Linked DNA regions of Drosophila melanogaster. The protein of the gene in region 1 interacts with the protein of each later gene in a pairwise test. Each region holds a gene or a part of one and is shown in the gene's direction. Other genes may lie near its edges. The genes, in order: mib2 and cmb.

The links.
Region 2: the proteins of mib2 (region 1) and cmb interact in a two-hybrid assay, tested with the Drosophila melanogaster proteins (one large-scale study listed by BioGRID).

The regions. Positions count from the first base shown.
Region 1 is NT_033779.5:19,032,640-19,041,687, forward strand, and holds mib2 (mind bomb 2), read left to right. Parts: upstream 1-1,817; 5' UTR 1,818-2,361; intron 2,362-2,860; exon of another isoform or gene 2,861-3,058; intron 3,059-3,121; 5' UTR 3,122-3,159; coding exon 3,160-3,226; intron 3,227-5,164; coding exon 5,165-5,332; intron 5,333-5,445; coding exon 5,446-6,115; intron 6,116-6,176; coding exon 6,177-6,339; intron 6,340-6,401; coding exon 6,402-8,483; 3' UTR 8,484-8,902; downstream 8,903-9,048. Other genes in the region: hook, read right to left, coding at 1-569, 625-741; CG31800 (uncharacterized protein), read right to left, coding at 1,100-1,291, 1,350-1,511, 1,566-1,723, 1,781-1,817.
Region 2 is NT_037436.4:13,440,294-13,449,310, forward strand, and holds cmb (combover), read left to right. Parts: upstream 1-2,300; 5' UTR 2,301-2,425; coding exon 2,426-2,695; intron 2,696-2,825; exon of another isoform or gene 2,826-3,006; coding exon 3,007-3,163; intron 3,164-3,395; coding exon 3,396-3,793; intron 3,794-3,919; coding exon 3,920-4,012; intron 4,013-4,074; coding exon 4,075-5,605; intron 5,606-5,715; coding exon of another isoform or gene 5,716-5,718; coding exon 5,719-5,987; intron 5,988-6,048; coding exon 6,049-6,590; coding exon of another isoform or gene 6,591-6,594; exon of another isoform or gene 6,595-6,668; intron 6,669-6,980; coding exon 6,981-8,091; intron 8,092-8,149; coding exon 8,150-8,752; 3' UTR 8,753-8,952; downstream 8,953-9,017. Other genes in the region: CG10140 (uncharacterized protein), read right to left, coding at 1-78, 133-142; CG14109 (uncharacterized protein), read left to right, coding at 933-986, 1,334-2,011; JMJD7 (jumonji domain containing 7), read right to left, coding at 9,016-9,017.

The DNA.
Region 1 (9,048 bases):
TGCTCTAGGCGGGCAAACTCTTGCTGCAGCTTATGCAACTCCTGTTGGAGATTCGTTTTCTCGTCTATGAGAAGGAGCATTTTCTTTTCCGTCTCGAAGCATTTTTGTGCCAGGGCGTCGCGATCCTCCTGAACTGCCTTGCTGTCCAGGAGTCCTGTGCGAGAGCCACGGGACAAGGAACTGGCTACACCGCCCTCCGGCGTGGATGCTTGCCTAGTGGCCTCAAGTTCCTGAAGGGCGCGCATAATGTTTGCTTGCAGTTCCTCCTCCAGACACATGATCTCTGTGATGTAGGACTGCTTCTCTGCACAGTTCACGGCGCAACCAAGGACCAACTGCAGCAGACGCTCCAGCTCTCCCAAGTCGCACTTCTCAGCGATCCTCTGCAGATCAGGCTTCGAGAAATCACTCAGCGAGTAGTTCAGTACGTCGCTGTAGTAGTCGTACACGGACTGGGTCACCTTTTTAAGATTGCTCATCCGCAATCGCCAGTTGCTGCCCACGGCACTGGCCTTGATCTTGGAAAGCCAAGCGTCGGTGAAGGATTCGGGGGCGAACTGGTTAAGAGCCTGTGAATAAAGGAGCTATTAAATATTGATGAACTATATATGTATATATAGTTACCTGAGCCAGTGCCACTCCGTCAGCTAAGGATTCCGCATCCGCATGCGGGGCATTTAGATTGAGGGTCTTGAACCACTCCAGCAAGCTATAGTACATCTCGTTCTTGGGCGCGGACATGTTGCAGGTGTGAACGAAACGCTAAACGAAACAAAACAAACTAAAAATATGCACAATTTCACAAAAAAAGAGCTCTCAGCTGTTGCACTAAAAACCAAAACATACATCGAACTGCACGACAGCTATCGAAAGCCATTGAGATGCACTTTCTCTATCGATAGAAAATATCGTTATTTATTATTTATCATGTTTACAAAATTAAACAGGAATTAAATATGTATGTTTATAAAAATATAAATGTTAATATTTAAATTAAAATTAATACATTTTACCCTAGAGCTTTTATAATTTTAATATCAGTAACATCGAAGTTTGGGTACAACCTCATGTTAATAAAAATAATTTTTAATATATTCTGTCAATCATTGCTTATATTAAAGTCAATTGCCATGGCCGAACCACGCCCACCATCTAGTGCCTTTAGCATGCACTGCTCCGCCCACTTTAGCTTCTCATCCTGCTCCTTAATCTTGTCCAGTGGGGTCCAGCTCAAATCGTACTCCAACCTGTAGCTGCCTTTGAATGTTTGGTCAACGGAGAGACTCCATTCCTGAAAGTGTACATCCATTAATAATGCGATTTTAGAATTATTTTCAAACAAAACGTACTTCCGGTGATAGCATGCTGAAATAGTTTTGACCCGATGGCCTTTGATAAAGATGATAGATGTGTCCGGGTTTTTTGGTGAAATTGCAGGCCGCACTGTGCAGATCTCGGTTGAGAGTGGACTCCTTAAGTATCTCCATCGCTTGGGCCTGAAGCATTTTGATCTATGAAAGATTTATTAGTTTGTATTATAATTGTTAAAGAGGAGTATAGCTTACCTGCTCCATTATGACCCCCAGCTTTTGGCAAGTTGTGTTTTTCAATTGTTTATCAGCATTCTGAATTTGTTGGGCCAATTCGATGATATCCTCCTCCTGGTGCATGGACACACGCATGGGGTTTATCTGCAACTGGGGATTCCTCTCAACCAGTTGGGCTAAAAAATACAATATTTATTTGTTTACCTCTCAGTAGTTATATCATAGAAGCGTACCCTTTTTTACAGCTGTCTGATACGTCAATTCGTCCATTTCGGCCGCTCTTTTCATCACACGCTACCGAACATGAATACAAATAAGTAATCACTCCGCGATTGACAACTATGTAAATTTATGGACTGCCAAAAATAAAATAATAACATGTGTTCTTTATAGCTGGTATATCTCCTCCAGTCATCGTTTTCCCTAGGTGTTATCGATCACTATCGAATAGATGTCATATTGCACGGCCGTCTCTAGATAGAAAGAAGAAGCACACTAAATTGTAGTTTTATTTAATAGTTCTAGCGAAATAGTGAATTTTGGCCATTTAACTAAAAAATTGTAATGTCCAGGCGAAATTGACCATAAGTGCGGTATCTGTGTGTTAAATAGTGCGGAAATTAGATCGCGTGCGAGTGAACTATGCCCTTTTTGGCAACCAGAGCAACGGTGTCACTGCATTTTAGCGAAAGGAAACACTAAATGCCCATTAAAAAGCGCACGCGCGTATAAAATGCACCATTAAAGGCTTGAGAACTTTAAGTTTTTCATTGCGAACAGCTGGAGCTAAGCGACAGTATCACAAATTGCATTGGTAAGCCCAAAAAAAAATCCAAACCAAGCCCCCAATAATCGCTTTTCACATACTCAATTTTGCATAAGTATATATTTGTAAAATATATACACATACGTATATATATGTGTGCGATGGCAAAACGGGCGTGAGTGTGAGTGTGTGCTTGGACTTTCGTAAACAACACATGCGGGTCGATTCCTTGAATGACTTCGCTGCTTGACCAAGAAGTCACAGGCACTTGGCTTTTGTCAGCGGGACGATGAGAAATCCGTATCGAAATTGAAATCGGAGGTTCAGACGGTGCATATATACATATATCCGTCTTATCGGCATGCGTCATGCGAGCTTCTGGGCTGCACCCACACCACAAAACCTCGGACTGCCAGAAACCGAAGCGCTGGCGATCGGGAAACATATCTGGCATTTGAATGGCATTTCCTCCCCCGACACCCCATAAATGATGCGAAGGGTTAACAAAGAAATCTCAAGAGTTTTAATACAGAAATCTCTAGAAAATTTTAATTCTGCTTAAGTATTTTGTGAAGAGTACAATTTCTTGCTTAGAATTAAGCCACTGCAATGTTTTAAAACATGCTCATAGAGACCCTTCCATGCTTGAGCCTACAAAGACTTCTGAGATGACCCCGATATGCTCCTCTCCTTTTGAGTCATGCGCTGACGGGGCCGCCATTTAGTTGACCCAATTATCAGCCAGGTCCCATCAAACGCCGTGCCCCGAGTATTGTCAAATGTCACATTTATGCTATCCTCCTTGCAGGCTGAATCGGATTACACAAATTGAGCCAACCAAACGCCATGCGAGCCTCCATTCCGCCCGGCATTCGAGTGGTGCGCGGACCCAACTGGATCTGGTCGAATCAAGGTAAGAACGCATTCAGGCAGCCACGGGCCAGCTTGTTTACTTTCACCCACCTCCAAAGAGGCGAATTAACTTGCCATCCGCTCTCTGTTTATAGATACGGGTGTTTTTGTTATATAGTTCAGATCGAAATTTGCGTACGGTAGAGATTAGGCGGTGGGGATGTCGCCAACTTAGGCATTCAATTTCGGTAAAACCCATACTTAGTCATACGTTCTCCGATTAAAAGGGCTTTACAATGGGATTATTACTTCTGTTTAAACTCCAATATCTGTCCTTAAAAAAAATCATGTTTATAATTTATTAAGCTGATTTTATCCGCATATTTTGGATTTGATAGCGTAATAATAATAAGCAATATCTTAAATAAACATTTTTATACCTCTTACGATCGATCAATATTTGATCAAATTTAATCTACTGATACTTTAATTTTTGTTATAATATGTATGTAGAAAAGACATGATAAATAATGAATATATGGCATAAAGGGAATCACTTCGTGGCCAATACTTACTGTATACGCCAAACGCAACTCACTTGGCATTGGCACCCGTAGAGGGTCCGTTGAGAGTGTGCGAGTGCGGAGGGGTGTGGGGCAATGGGACGGGATGGGACGGAGAGGTGTACGTCCGTGTCCGCTGCTGCTGCTCGGGGCGTTGTTGAATGTAAAGAGGACGCGCCCGCTATTTTTAGCAACACTCACTGCGGCAGCAGTGAAATTCTTGCGCTTACCAATTGCTTCTGCTTTCGTCGCTTCGTTTTATGGTTCATATACATACATATGTACATATATATGGCGGGGATGTGTGGCTCTCGATGGTACGTACATATATAGTACGCCACCCTACGTGGCAGGTAAATACATATGCACATACATACGTCCGTAGGCAGCTGCCCGCCAAACAATAATATTGCGTAGTTTTTAATTGAATTAATTGTCTTTCGCTGGAACAAATTCGTAACGTATTACAAACAATTAGATGATGAGGCTTATATCGTTTCGAAAGCTTGATAAACCGACTGTATTATATGTGCCATGAAAAGAGATTAGAACTCAAAACCTCAAAAATGAAAGGAATGTAGAACACTATAATTTTCAATTACATTTTGATAGTTGCAAATGAATATTACCAAGAGAGAACATTTCTTCAGATACACTTCAAAAACAATTTGAATCATTTTGTGGAAGTTAAACCAATCACCAAAGCCTAATTTGATAATAAACGCAGTAATGTTTAAGCCTATTGAAGGATCCTATTAAAGCAGCTGCACACGTTTAGGATTAGGTCATGGTATGTGTTCCCCCCTCCCCAAGTCGCCCTATTCCAGCCTGTGCAGCGAATGCATATGCACATGTCAGGCGCTAGGGCGCGTGCCATTTTGTCTCCAACCTTTTTTTGAGTGTTTATTTTTAGTTACACGGGTGGGGATCGCGAGCAGTTACACAGCTCCAGCCGGCCTGATATTTGGGGACGATGTGGAGAGTTTATTTTTGGACCTTGGTATTCCTCCGACTGGGGTGTGTTGAAAATAGACATAAACAAATTTTCAGATGGGAGCCCAGCCATCGGTGCTCCCATTCCTCCCCAGGCCAACATCAAATGTCACCCTCTAGAGAACGATTCCACATCCACACCCGTGATACGGGGTAATTATAGAGCAGCTGCACGCCCGAGTCCGAGTGCATAACAAAAATCCGCTTGGAGCCCGAGCCCGAGTCAATGATTATGGGTATTTATAGTCACGGCGCGTTGTTTATGAGGGGGAAGTGTGCGCTCTGCATATGTCTGATATCCACCGGATGTGGATGTGGGGATGGTGATGCCGATGTACACACAATGCAGCCCTAGGAGCATCCTTGTGGCAGCTCTATAGCTCTATAGCTTCTCCAACTCACATCACGTCACTCTCGACTTTGTTTCATTGCTTACGCAACAGACGACGGAGAAGGTCACGTTGGAACCGTTTGCGAAATCGGACGTTGCGGATCGACACATTCGCCAGAAAACACTGTCGTGGTCAACTGGGATTCCGGACACCGGACCAACTACCGTGTGGGCTACCAAAACCAGTACGACTTGATAATTGTAGATAATGCTCAAGTTGGTAAGTGACGATATTTAAGAAATCTATTCAATTAGTTAATTTTAATTTTCCAAATTACAATTATTTATAGTTCATTGTTTATAAGGTCTTATATTCGAATTCTTTTTTCGCAGGAGTTCGTCACTCAAATGTTGTCTGCGATGGCTGTTCCAAGGCGGGTATCGCTGGCATAGTATTCAAGTGCGCCCAGTGTCCCAACTATCACCTATGCGCCTATTGCTACGCAGAGGATCTGCACGATATTGAGCACCCGTTTATCCGCTACACGACTCCCAACTCGCTGGGCGTGAGATTGCCCATGAGAAAAGGTGCCAAGCGCATCCAGCTGCGAGGCATCTTTGTGGGTTCCAAAGTAGTGCGCGGTCCTGACTGGGAGTGGAACGAACAGGACGGCGGAGAAGGCAGGACGGGTCGGGTAATGGAAATCCGAGGCTGGGACAACGAATCGTGTCGCAGCGTGGCCAACGTAGCGTGGGTAACCGGATCGACGAACGTCTACCGTCTAGGTCACAAGGGAAACGTTGACCTCAAGTACATTACTGCCACGTGCGGTGGTCACTACTATAAGGACCACATGCCTGTTCTAGGTCAGACAGAGGAGTTGCAGCCGGTGGCGCCCATGGTGAAGCCAAGCTTTTCCGTGGGCGACCGCGTCAAGGTTTGCCTAGAGGTTGACGCCCTAATGAAATTGCAGCAGGGCCATGGCGGATGGAATCCGCGCATGGTCGAGCATTTGTCCAAACTGGGCACAGTACACCGCATCACGGACAAGGGGGATATACGGTGAGAATATATAATTTGGTTGATTTTATTTGGATTTCTAACACAGTCGAAACCCAAACAGTGTTCAGTATGAAAACTGTCCCAATCGATGGACCTTTCATCCCGCCGCACTCGTTAAGGTTGTCTCTTTTCGTGTCGGTGACCTGGTCACCATCATCAACGATGCCAACAAAGTGCAGCAGCTGCAGAAGGGTCACGGCGAATGGATAGAAATCATGCGACACGTGAGTATTCAGATTATGTTAAATCTTTTTTGAGAGTATTCTTTAAAAAAAATGTTTTTCAGGCCCTTGGAAAAATTTGCAAGGTAGTGAAGGTGTACTCGGACGGTGACCTCCGCATCCAGCAGTTGGACGACGGCTTCGAGTGGACCCTGAATCCGAAATGTGTCAAACTAGAGCGTTCTCCTTTGGCAACAGCAGCTGAGCGCTCTAACAGTATGATGGACCTAAGCCACCGACGCGCTGACCATGTAATGACACCGCTCTCTGGCCTCTCCGGTAGTTCGGTTGCCGACAAGCTGGTGCGCGAGGCTGCCCAGGGCCATTTGGATTTCGTGCGGCAGTACCTGGACGTGAATCCCAGCCAGGTGGATGTGATGAGTGGCGGCAAGGCTTGTATTCAGGTGGCCTCTCATCAGGGCTACGTCGATCTTGTCAGCTACCTCATCTCCAAGGGTGCCAACGTGAATGCGGTCGACAAGGAAGGTGATTCAGCTCTGCACTACGCAGCCTTCGGCAATCAGCCGGCCACCATGAGAGTGCTGCTGCAGCACGGTGCTGAGGTGAACTTCCTAAACTCGAGCCACTGCTCTGCACTGCACATCTGCGCGCACAAGAAAACGCCGCACTGTGTGCGTGAGTTGCTGCAGCACAATGCCAACGTAAACATTCAGGATTCGTACGGGGATACGGCGCTTCACGACGCAATCGGCAAAGAGAATACGGAAGTTGTGGAGTTGCTTTGTAATGCTCCGAATCTGGACTTTACGGTTAAGAATAATCGCGGCTTTAACGTGCTACACCATGCAGCGCTTAAAGGAAACGTGGTAGCTGCTCGCCGTATCCTGTTGCTCTCCCGCCAGCTGGTCAATGTGCGCAAAGACGATGGCTTTGCGGCTCTTCATTTGGCAGCCCTTAACGGTCATGCCCAGGTTGTGGAAACGCTGGTCACTGAGGGCCAAGCGGAGTTAGATATACGCAATAATCGCCAACAGACGCCGTTCCTACTGGCCGTCTCCCAGGGCCATGCCGGGGTAATCGAGCGACTCGTTCGCCTCTCCTGCGACGTGAATGCCAAGGATGAGGATGGCGACAATGCGATGCACTTGTGCGTCATTAAGAAGTCCAATCTGCAGTCGGCCGCGGAGCCTCAGCCAGAGGAGGCTCCTGAGATTCACAAGTTTTACCTGAGTCTAGTACACTCGAGCATTCGTCCTGAGGATCGTTTGATGTACAGTATATTGATCTATCTTTCGAGGGCCGGCTGCCGAGTGGAGCTGAACAACGCCAATGCAAGCATTTTTGAGTGGATAACGGACCGCCACATCAGGCAACTGATTTTTGGGCAGCAGGGCGAAGCTGAATCGCTGCCTAGGAATCTTCAAGCTTTGGAAGTGTCCGCAGGATCAGCCGACGGTGAGGAGAGCTCTGCGTCTGCTGGAGCTGAATCCAATGGAGCCGGACCTGGAAGCGTTGCAGCACCCCCACCACCGCAGCGCCAGACATTTGAACTAATGCCAAAGCCAAACGATATCCCAGCCATTGGAGTTGGAGCATCTCCATCCACGCCCTCCGCCTCGCCGGGCGTAAAGAAACTGAACTCCGACGCAACACCGCAAAACGTCTCTCCACAGGTGGCACCGCGCAAGAAGGCGCCCAAGCCTCCGGTTACCACTAGCTCGAGCAGTACCGCGTTGGAAGCCGGAGCGGCGGGACCCAGTACCAGTCCGGTGATCGTCCCCGGTCCCCATGAGTGCATTGTGTGCAATGAGATCCTGCCGATGGTGCGCTTTGAGCCGTGTCAGCATCAGATCGCCTGCGAGGAGTGCGGCATCCGAATGAAAAAGTGTCTCCGCTGTGCCGTGGCGATCGAGCGGCGATTGACGGTCAGCGGCCGAGTGGTGGCCCTGCCCACGTCCACGTCGTCACCTAGTGACCCCACTCGCCTACCGTCCGGGGATCTACTTCGCTATCTGGAGAACAAAGTGCTGGAGTTTGAGGAGTCGCACTTCTGCGGTATTTGCATGGAGCGAAAAAGGGATGTGGCCTTCCTGTGCGGGCACGGCGCGTGCTCCCATTGTGCCGAAACGCTCCGCACATGCCACATGTGTCGCAAGACAATACTCAAGAAGATCAACCTGTACTGAACGGCGGTAACGGAAACGAAAGAAAAGCAAAGGCGGCAGGATCAGCAGCAATTCAAACAGCAACCAAAGTGGCTTGTATATATACATACACAAAACAAACACACACTCACATTGCCGTGTCATGTGCAAATCGAAATTATTATTTATTGATCACAAACGAAATTTACGAGTTCTTTTTTAATCGGTTCATCATCGGCATCGTCGCAACACGCAACAAATTAATGTGCACCTTCTCGTGTCTAGTTATTAGCCCCGTTTAACCATGTCTGGTAACGATAAATACATAGGAAACTAACTAAAGCATACAAATATTTAATAGTCATTTAAATGCAAATATACAAATATAAAATTATTTAATTGAGTGAATTTCAATCGATGTCGGTGGTTAGCCTACAGAAAATAAAGATACTTTATTTCTGAATATGCTGGGGTGACTTTTAATTGTATTGGTATTTAAAAGGTTTAGTTTAAAATTGAATATATAATAAGTTTAGAAAGATTTTAAAACTGAAATGTTGTAACGGCAAAGTGTGAACAAGTTATTTTCTTTCAGTACGCTGCATAA
Region 2 (9,017 bases), on another chromosome or scaffold:
TTGTTCCAGAAACGTCCAAGTCTTTGGGTCTTGCTCCAAAAACACCGCAAAATATGCAGATAAAGTACCATATTACTTCTGCAAAACAGAAAAATTATAATAGTTTTGTATTCCAACTTCTGAACCGCACACCTCCACTCATTGTCAGATTTTTATTCAACTGAATCTCTTCCCTTGTGAAAATGTACCTTTATAAGGTTCAAGCCTCAGATTATCTTATCACTATATCGATGTAAACATTGCAAACAACTGGCAAATGAATTGGTGGGAAAGGCGATGACTCTTGGAAGTCTAAATTTGGATCACCATATTCACAGCAGGTTCACCTAAATCATCATGCAATTGATGTACATTTACTTTAACACAGGGGTTTATATTTATAACTATATTTTTATGAATTAATTTAAATTTTTTTTTGAAAATGCTTCTGTTACAATTACAACGAAAAAATGTTTTAAGCATGTTTTCAATTTAATTGTTACCTTCCTTTTCTAAACATAAAAAAAGTTTCCTTTGTAGACTTTCATATTAATGTGGAAAAGCTTGTCGGCTGTTTCTAAAAACTCTACACGAACACGAAAACGATTCAAAATATTTTCGTTTTCGGCACATCGTTTCAGTTGAAATTTGGGCATCTCTTTGTGCGCACAGCTCATCGCTCGGAGGATTCGAATATACGATTAAAAGGTAGCATTTTCAAGTATAATATATGTGGTGTATTGTGGTGTACATTTTCATAAGTGCACTTGTTAGTTTTGTCTTCAAAAATGCCAAGATGACTGACACTATTCTAACTGAAAAATAATTTAACAAAGAGCCATTTATTTATAGACAGTGCCTTGCGATGGGCCTTTGTTTGTATTGAGAAAATAATCAACGTGCACGATATACATAACACCAAGTATTCCCTCTTCTCCTCAGGAACCCAGAAAATGGTCAACGAACTGAATAGGCCTCAAAATGGGGACAATGCCGCCTTGAGCGAGGTAAGCTGGAGTCTTCGGGAAATTGCAAAACTCTTAGTATTTAAGTGTTTTAAAACAATAAGAAAACACAGTCAGTAAAGTTAAATAAATACCGTGACACATTCTTTTTAGACAACAAAATGAATGAGTCACACCAATAAGCCTACAGTCTCTAGATGTTTCAGTTGAAATGAAATTTAAGTACGAAGCTTTTTCTATACCAGTGAGCTAAAAAATAGAGTTTTTTAATAATAATATACAAAATCATTTTTCTTTTGATGCCCTAATGTAGTCTTTGAACTATGATGTTTTTAAACCAATTTTTTCATTATTGAAGCTTTCAAAACTAATTATTTGTATTTTTTAAGCGCCTAGCTGCTTCCAACAGACAGCTGCAAGAGATGCAGGAGGAGCACCGCCAGTTGCTTGAGGAGATGGAGACACTGCGCTTACGAGCCGCTGAGCTGACCCTTCTGAATGCCCAGCGCCGACAAGTGCGGCAGTCCACCGAGGAGGAGGAGGTTCAGTCCCACGTTGAATCCTCATCGGAGACAGTAACAGTTGCTTCATCCGCCAGTGCTTCTGGAGAGTTCACAAACCGGGAAGAGGCACCATCTGGTGAGGAAGAGGGCGGGGAGGACAAAGAGGAGCAGGCCAGTTATCTGCAGGAGAAGCTAAACGAGATCGCCAACCTGAAGGCGCAGTTTAAGCGCGTGCAGAACATGGTGGACACCACCAAGATGATCGAGGAGCACATGTCCTCCAGGCAAACGGTACAGGTCCAGAGCTCCACCTCCGTTCAGACCAGCAGGCAGACCACCTCGTCAGAAGTCCGAGTGGCCAGCGAGGCCGTAGAGAGTGCCCAAGAAGAGAATCCATCGACCTCGTCGAGTGCTCCCGATAACGCCGAGCTCCTGAATTCCATGCTTAACATGTTCACGGACTTCACCAGTGATCTACGCGGTCAAGCGGTGGGACTCCGGGCGGAGAGGGATCGGATTCGTGCGCTCAAGGAGGACATCATCCAGCGCAAGCAGGGAAAGTAGGCACGTCCAAACTTGAAAGGGAAAATGGCTCTAGTCATATAATGTTTATTATCCAAGGAACATATTATAAAGTAATCTCCAAATAAATAATTATCCTTAAAAGATATCAAATTACCAAGTAACGTTAGTTTATCTACACCAAAAGCATTTAAAATACTTTTTACAGATATACATTTTATTTTAAACTAAAAATAATATTTATTTTTGAATTTTAGAAAACATTCGATTTCAAAAAACGTCCGCTGCCAGTGTGACCATAACTTGGTAGGCTTGTTAACTAGCTTCCAGCCCTGGTTGGGAACAGCTGTCAGAGTGCGCAAAGCAAAAAAACAAAGTGGGAGTACAAAAAAGAGGAGTTTTTTCAATTTTGTAGCGTCGTTTTTTGTACGCAAATATATATATATATATTTTCTAATGGCGCCGCCGCCCAAGGTAGTTGTGGACCAAGCCAACGCCAGCGCCCGCAGCAATGGCAGCAGCAACAACAACTCGGTGGGCGGGGCAACCGGTGCGGTGCCTAAACAACAAACGCCTGTAAACGGAGCACCCACGTCCGGGTCGAGTGCATCTGTGACATCCAGCCGGTCGGCCCGCTCTCGCCGGCAGCAGGAGCACCTGGGCGAACCGGACATGGAACTTGTCGAGCCAGAGACGCTGCAGCGGGAGACGCTGAAAACTCTGAATGTAAGTTAGACGGACGTCTGGTTGCCATGGCAAATCTTCTCGAAGAGAAGACACCAAGACCTTTCTCTTCTTGGTTTTATAAATACACTTTACACTCATCGCGACCTGCGGAAATTCGTTAGCCGCTGGCTCAGTAGCGAATGCGAACTCAACCACTGCGGACAACGAATTTCGATCGGCCAGAGCAGCGCCCTTATACATATATATATATATATCTGAAATAGATATATATATATAGACCTAAAATCAGCAAAATTACCGCAATCCTCGTGCTGGTTTTCCTGCTAATCTTCATTTACTGTTGCTTAAAGGATCTCCTCCAGCGAGCACGCATCACCAACGCCAAGAATCGATCGCCGGCGGAGCAGCATCTGTCTAGCAAGGATCACAGGTCGCCTGCACAACAGCAACAGCAGCGCGAGGCACTGCGTCAGTTGGCCGCCGAACACGGCAACTACGATACAGCAGGTAATGGGTCCTGAAACCGTTGAGGAATATACACATTTAATTGAGCAATTTCCAATATCCGCACCTGGCAAAGTGATCGGCCTGGCCCACACAGAGATCGGTGCGCCAGTTCATGTTCTATAAATAAGATGCGCACGAAAATAAACGCCCACTGAGATGATGTAGTTCGCAGCGCAGTATTTAGCAATGGACCTAAACATCCATACTGATCTTTGGCTATTTTCCATTACAGAGCAACTGCAGGAACAGCAGCAGCGCTATCGATTCCCCGTCCGTCCTGTCCAGAGGGTTCAGCACCAGCCATCCTCGTCAGCTAATAGCACAGGCGCCCCCTCATCTTCGACGGCTTTGCTGCGTTTGCGTCAATCGACGCCTCCGAATGCCACAGTAGGTGTGGTCATACCGAACGCAACTACCAGCAACGGAAACGGCAATTTGAGTGGCAACGAGGAGCAGGCACCGCCACTGACCCCCGCTGGACTGCAACAACTCGTTCACCGACTTCTTGGTGTACACCATTTTGCTCCCAGAACCGAAGGTTTTCGCTCGCAGGTTGACGTGTTACGCGCCCTGCTAGGATTAGACGAGAACCTGAATAGCAGATATCAACCGAGTAGGAAAGTTGTAGAGGTGAGTTTGAAAGCTTGTGTCAGGAACTTCAAGTGAGCCGTACATTTATAACATTTATAAGATTGATAATAACATTTTTTATATCGTAATAATAAATGAAACTAAATCCTTTAATTCTTGCCCCAGACGAACAACATGGTGCACGAAATCAACCCAAATTCGGATCAGGGTGAAGGCGTAGTCAATTCGACCAGCTTGGAGGATGTTGCATTAAGCGAGGTTAGTTGGTTAATAAAACCAAAAGTCTGCCTTCTAGTACTCAAACCATTTGTACCTTTCAGATGAGCGACAACCGCGCCCAATCCATTCAGTCCCTACACAGCGTCTTGGAAACGCCCACGCCCGATACCACGCCCAGCTTCGATGAGTTGCAGCAGCGCTTGGAAGCCTCCAATAGGAACATGCAGCACCTGCACGACGAACAGGCGAAGCTGTTACAAATCCAAAATTTGGCCAAGACTCACCTTAACGAGATGGAGCGGCTGCGCCAGCAAGCCGATAGCTTACCCCACAATGTCAATGGGGGAGAGGCCCCCAAATACGAGTCCGTGCAGCAGGTACAGGACGACATGGCGTCGCTGGTGGGGCGCATGAAGAATCTCACCGCCTTTATACACAACCAGAACGAACTGAGCACGGTGCTTGGCGATGATGGGCCCGAGATCCTGGCCGAGCAGGAAGCCCTGCAGGAGAAACTGGAATCACTGCGCACCCAACGTGAGGATATGCGCAATCTGGTGGACGAACTAAACAGCATCAACCGTGCGGCCAGGGAGACTGCTAGAGTCATCAAAGAGAAAGAGGAGACTCCCACGCCTCCTCCCAAGCCAGAGGAGGCTGCCCCAGCGGCTCCCAAGGAGCGTGTTGTTCCTGTGGAGTATCAGAGAAACGTACCCATCATACGCCAGGAGGCGGCCAACGCTGCTCAACGGGCACTTCACGCACAGGCAATGATCAACCAGAAGACGGCAGATATAGAAGCACTCAAGGCTCAGATGGCGAGACTAAAGGGAATGCTGTACACTGTTAGCCAGATTGAAGAAAGTACTCCCAGCATGGGCTCCACCTTAGAGCGGCGTAGTGAGGAAAGAACTAGCGTGGAGCGCGAATTGCCGGCCGAGATTGCCCAGCGCGTATTCGCTCTGAACGATGTTACGAGCGAACTGAGAGCGGAAGCAGCAAGCTTGCAAAAGGAGCGTGACCGTATCCTAGCCCTGAAGGCAGAGATTGAGCGACGCAAACAACAGGCGGCCGCCGCTGTTCAAATGGGCGATGATGCACTTAAAAGAAGCAGTCTTACCCCAACACCCACCCCCATGAGACAGCGGATGACCGAGGAAGAGGATCCATCCGAAGTGGATAATTCTCTTCAGGCTACGCCCACCAAGGAACAACTGCGCGATGAACTGCGCTCGCAGTGCGAGCGCCTGCGAACGGAATACGAGCAGAAGCAGCGGGAACTGGAGCAGCGTTACGTAGCCAGTAACAACACCACATCGGAGGCGGATGACGAGGCAAACGACGACACTGACAGCGATAAGTACTTCGCCAACGTACGTACCGCTTCCTCAGCGACCCTAAAGAGGGCTCCATCCGCCAACACAGTGGTGGAGCAACGACGAGGTCAGCAACCTAACGTTCCCCCACAGCAGGCACCACCACCACCGCCGCCTGCTCCTCCGTCGACGCTAAACGAAGATGACCTGAATGTGACACTTGATACGCTATCCCTGGGTAATGACAGCATACCATCCAGCAGCAATAGATCGCAGTACATGCCGCCCCCCATGCAACCAGTGCCTGGAATGTGGGGTACGTTTTTAATTCCACCAACAAAGGCGGAAATTTACCAACTTTACTTTACCAACTTGAATTCATGTATTAGTTTCCTCGTTTTACGCTTATTTTTATGCATCCGCTAGCAGCATCACACAACTCTGGAAGTTCGTGGCATGGACAGCAGCCCGTCTACGGTCAGCCGAGCTCCAGTGCCGGCACAGAGTTTAAAAAGCTGCCAGCCGCCCAACAAGGGGGCTCCTCAAATGGATCCGGATCGAATGCCTCTACCGACGCAGTTCTGCTGCAGCAGTTCATGCAGACGCAGCAAATGCTTATCAACTCTGTGTGCCAGTGCAACCAGGCACTGTGGCATCAACAGCGCGAAATCGACAACCTCAACCACCAGCTACATGCGGTAAGACAATCCATGAGATTAGAGAGCCTAATCAAAGACTAATTCAAGTGTTTTTTCACAGCTCCAGGATCGATTTAATGTTGTAGCATGCCAGGATCACAGCTTCGGCTTGCGCTCGGAATCAGTACCGCCTCCGGTGGGCCCTGGAATGGGTCAGATGCCCAACAATCTGTGCCTGGGCAGCAGTCGAGCTCAATCTGAGCAGCTATTTAACTTTGGTGCCCACCAGAGCGCCTTTAGTAACTATCAGCGCAGCTGTCATCGTAGCGGGGCAGAATCGCATCATCATCAACAGCAGCAGCATCAGGCGCAGCCGTTCCTTAACAATGCTGCTCCCCCGCCACCGCCGACGCACTTCAACAACGAGACACCCCTGTCGCCGCCTACTTACCGCTCAAGTCCAGGTCCCATCTTCATGAACCACCATAACAACACGATACATCAGAACAACTCGAATCTGCGAACCCAGAACCAGCATGCCAACAATCTGCACTCGCTGCCCGAGGGAGCAGCTGGTGGAGGAGCACCTGGTGGCGGTATTACATTGAACAATCAAGTACCACCCGGAAACAGAGCCAACAACTACTGGGACAACTTCCGCAGGTAATGCTTTATAACTTTGGTGTTGGATTTATTAATGGTTGTTTGATGGAAAAGGGTCAAAAGCAATAAAAATTAAATAAAACTATTGTGAAGAGTTAATTTTCAATTCTGTGCACCGGTAAGTGCGACCACGCGTTGCAGATAAGTGTCCCATTAACAGAGTTGAAAGTGACTAACCAAGACTAACTCCAAGTACTGACCAAGTTTTGCAAGTGCCTATTCGGCAGTAAACAAAGCTAATTTATAAAAGATGTGTATTCAATTTAAAAAGGATATATGGAATAGAAAAACTTAACTTAGTAACGCTCACTAGATTTAGCTAGTTTATCAACTGCATGATTCTTTGCTACCCGCTTGCATTAACCCATTAATATCTGTACGCTCTTCCAGCCATTCGCGCCAAAATCTCTTATCAAATAAAAGCAACGAGGAGCTGAACGTGGACCTCCAGCAGTATCGGCGACAACGGGCACGTCCCAGCTACTTTCAGCCGCCCCAGTTGCTTCCGCCTACTACGCGTGGTGGTTTGACCCACCAGCAGCAGCGTCGTCACTTTTTCGAGGCGCCACTAACCGCTTTGCATGGCAGCAGCTCCAATGGCAGCAATAATCTCAACAACAGCGGCAGTTCGGGCAGAAAAAGGGACTGGCGCGATGATGCAGGCCACATTCGCGACCACGACGATGAGGATGTGGACGAGGTGGAGGAGAACCATGATAACGTCATATTCGGCTCGGGTCGACGTCGCAATCGTCGCCGTCCTCAGCTTTCCACGCTGCGGGATGATGAGTCCGAGCAGGCTAGCTCCTCCAATCTCAACATGAACGTAAACTATGGCAACAGTCCGCTGTATCAGCGGAACAAGGTACCAGCAAAGCCCACCACTTCGACTGTGTCGCTTACTCCTCTGCAGCAGCGACATCTTCGTTTCGACTTCGAACTTCCAGCTCACTACATGGACTACATCGAGCTACCCCAGATTACTCCAGTGGACACTACTCCTACGCTCGGACAAGAAGCATCGCCCGCGGACGAATCAAATGCCATGGAGCAAACCGAGGAAACGGCCTCCGAGGAACTGAATCGAAATCTGCTGGTTAACGCTCTGAAGAACGACAAGTTCACCACAAAGTTTTATGAATCAATCAAGGAGGATGTCTACCGCCGGCTGGAGACACTCTTCGAGCAGCAGCAGCAGCAGCAGCAACAACAACAGCAACAAAATCAGCAGCTGCAGCACTCACATGAACCACACGGCTTGCGAAAGGCTCTTAACCAGGAGGAGAACGAACCTACTGGCGACGCCGAGGCCACCGAGAGTCGCAGTGAAACCCCGCTAGAGGTAATGCGTCTGCAGCTAGACAACGATCGGCCCGAGGACGAAAAAGGAACGCCAGTGAAGCAGCTAAGTTTGTCCAATCCACAGAACGGGCAGCACCTGGATGAAATGGAGGACAGTGCTTCTGCTGTTATCTCTTCTCTTAGGACCGAGAACGAAGAGGTAAGAAAGGCTTTCGTAAACTGGATCGATTAACTCATAATTGCGTCTTCCTTACCAGCAAATCCTCGAGGGAAAACTAGAACAAGCCTCTGGCTCGGGATCAGGACCAGGGACCAGCATAGAACTGGCACCGGATCACGAACTAATCGAGTACATTATCAAACGCATTCGCAATCAGACGCACAACAACACCGTCATCAATGACTCCCTACTGGCAGAGGTATCAAAGCTGACGGCCACTGCTGCCCAGAATTCGACCGCCAGCTCGCCACTAATTTCGCCCAAACGCATATATGCCAAGATCAAGAAGATGGACATACCACGACAGCGGGACGAGTTCCTGCTTTGGTACCGTTCTTATTTGGAGCAGCTGTTTGTGGTGGAACAGCCGCAGGATAGCTGCAAGACCAAGTCGAAGGTGACACCTTCTGGAGCCAGTCCGGCCAAGCTGAAGAACCAGCGTGTGCGCAAACAGTCCCAATCCCAGTCGCAGGACTCGAATAACGATGCAGACTTGGCCGAGGCGGACCAAAAGAACGTCTCCTCCGCGGGAAATGGCGAACTGGAGTGCGAGAACAACGAAAATCCCGACGAGGAGGCAGATGGACAGGCTGCAGCGGAGCCTTCCGGCGCAGAAAAACAGGACGTCAGTCTCGAATAGACTAGAGAATAACCCAACAAAGCAAACATTCCTTATTTAAGAAGTCATCATCTGTACGGATATTTCATATTTCATTTACGAATTTCGGAAAAGATAAATCTTTTATGGTCGTGTCCTTAGTCGTAGTTCGCAACTCATTTTGGGTATCAGTTTTTTATTTAACACTAAATTATGTAACAATAATATATATAAATACACTGAAAACAAGAAGGGTTTTGAATTCACCTAACAATCCCTGAGAATAAATACTTCTCCGGATTCTATT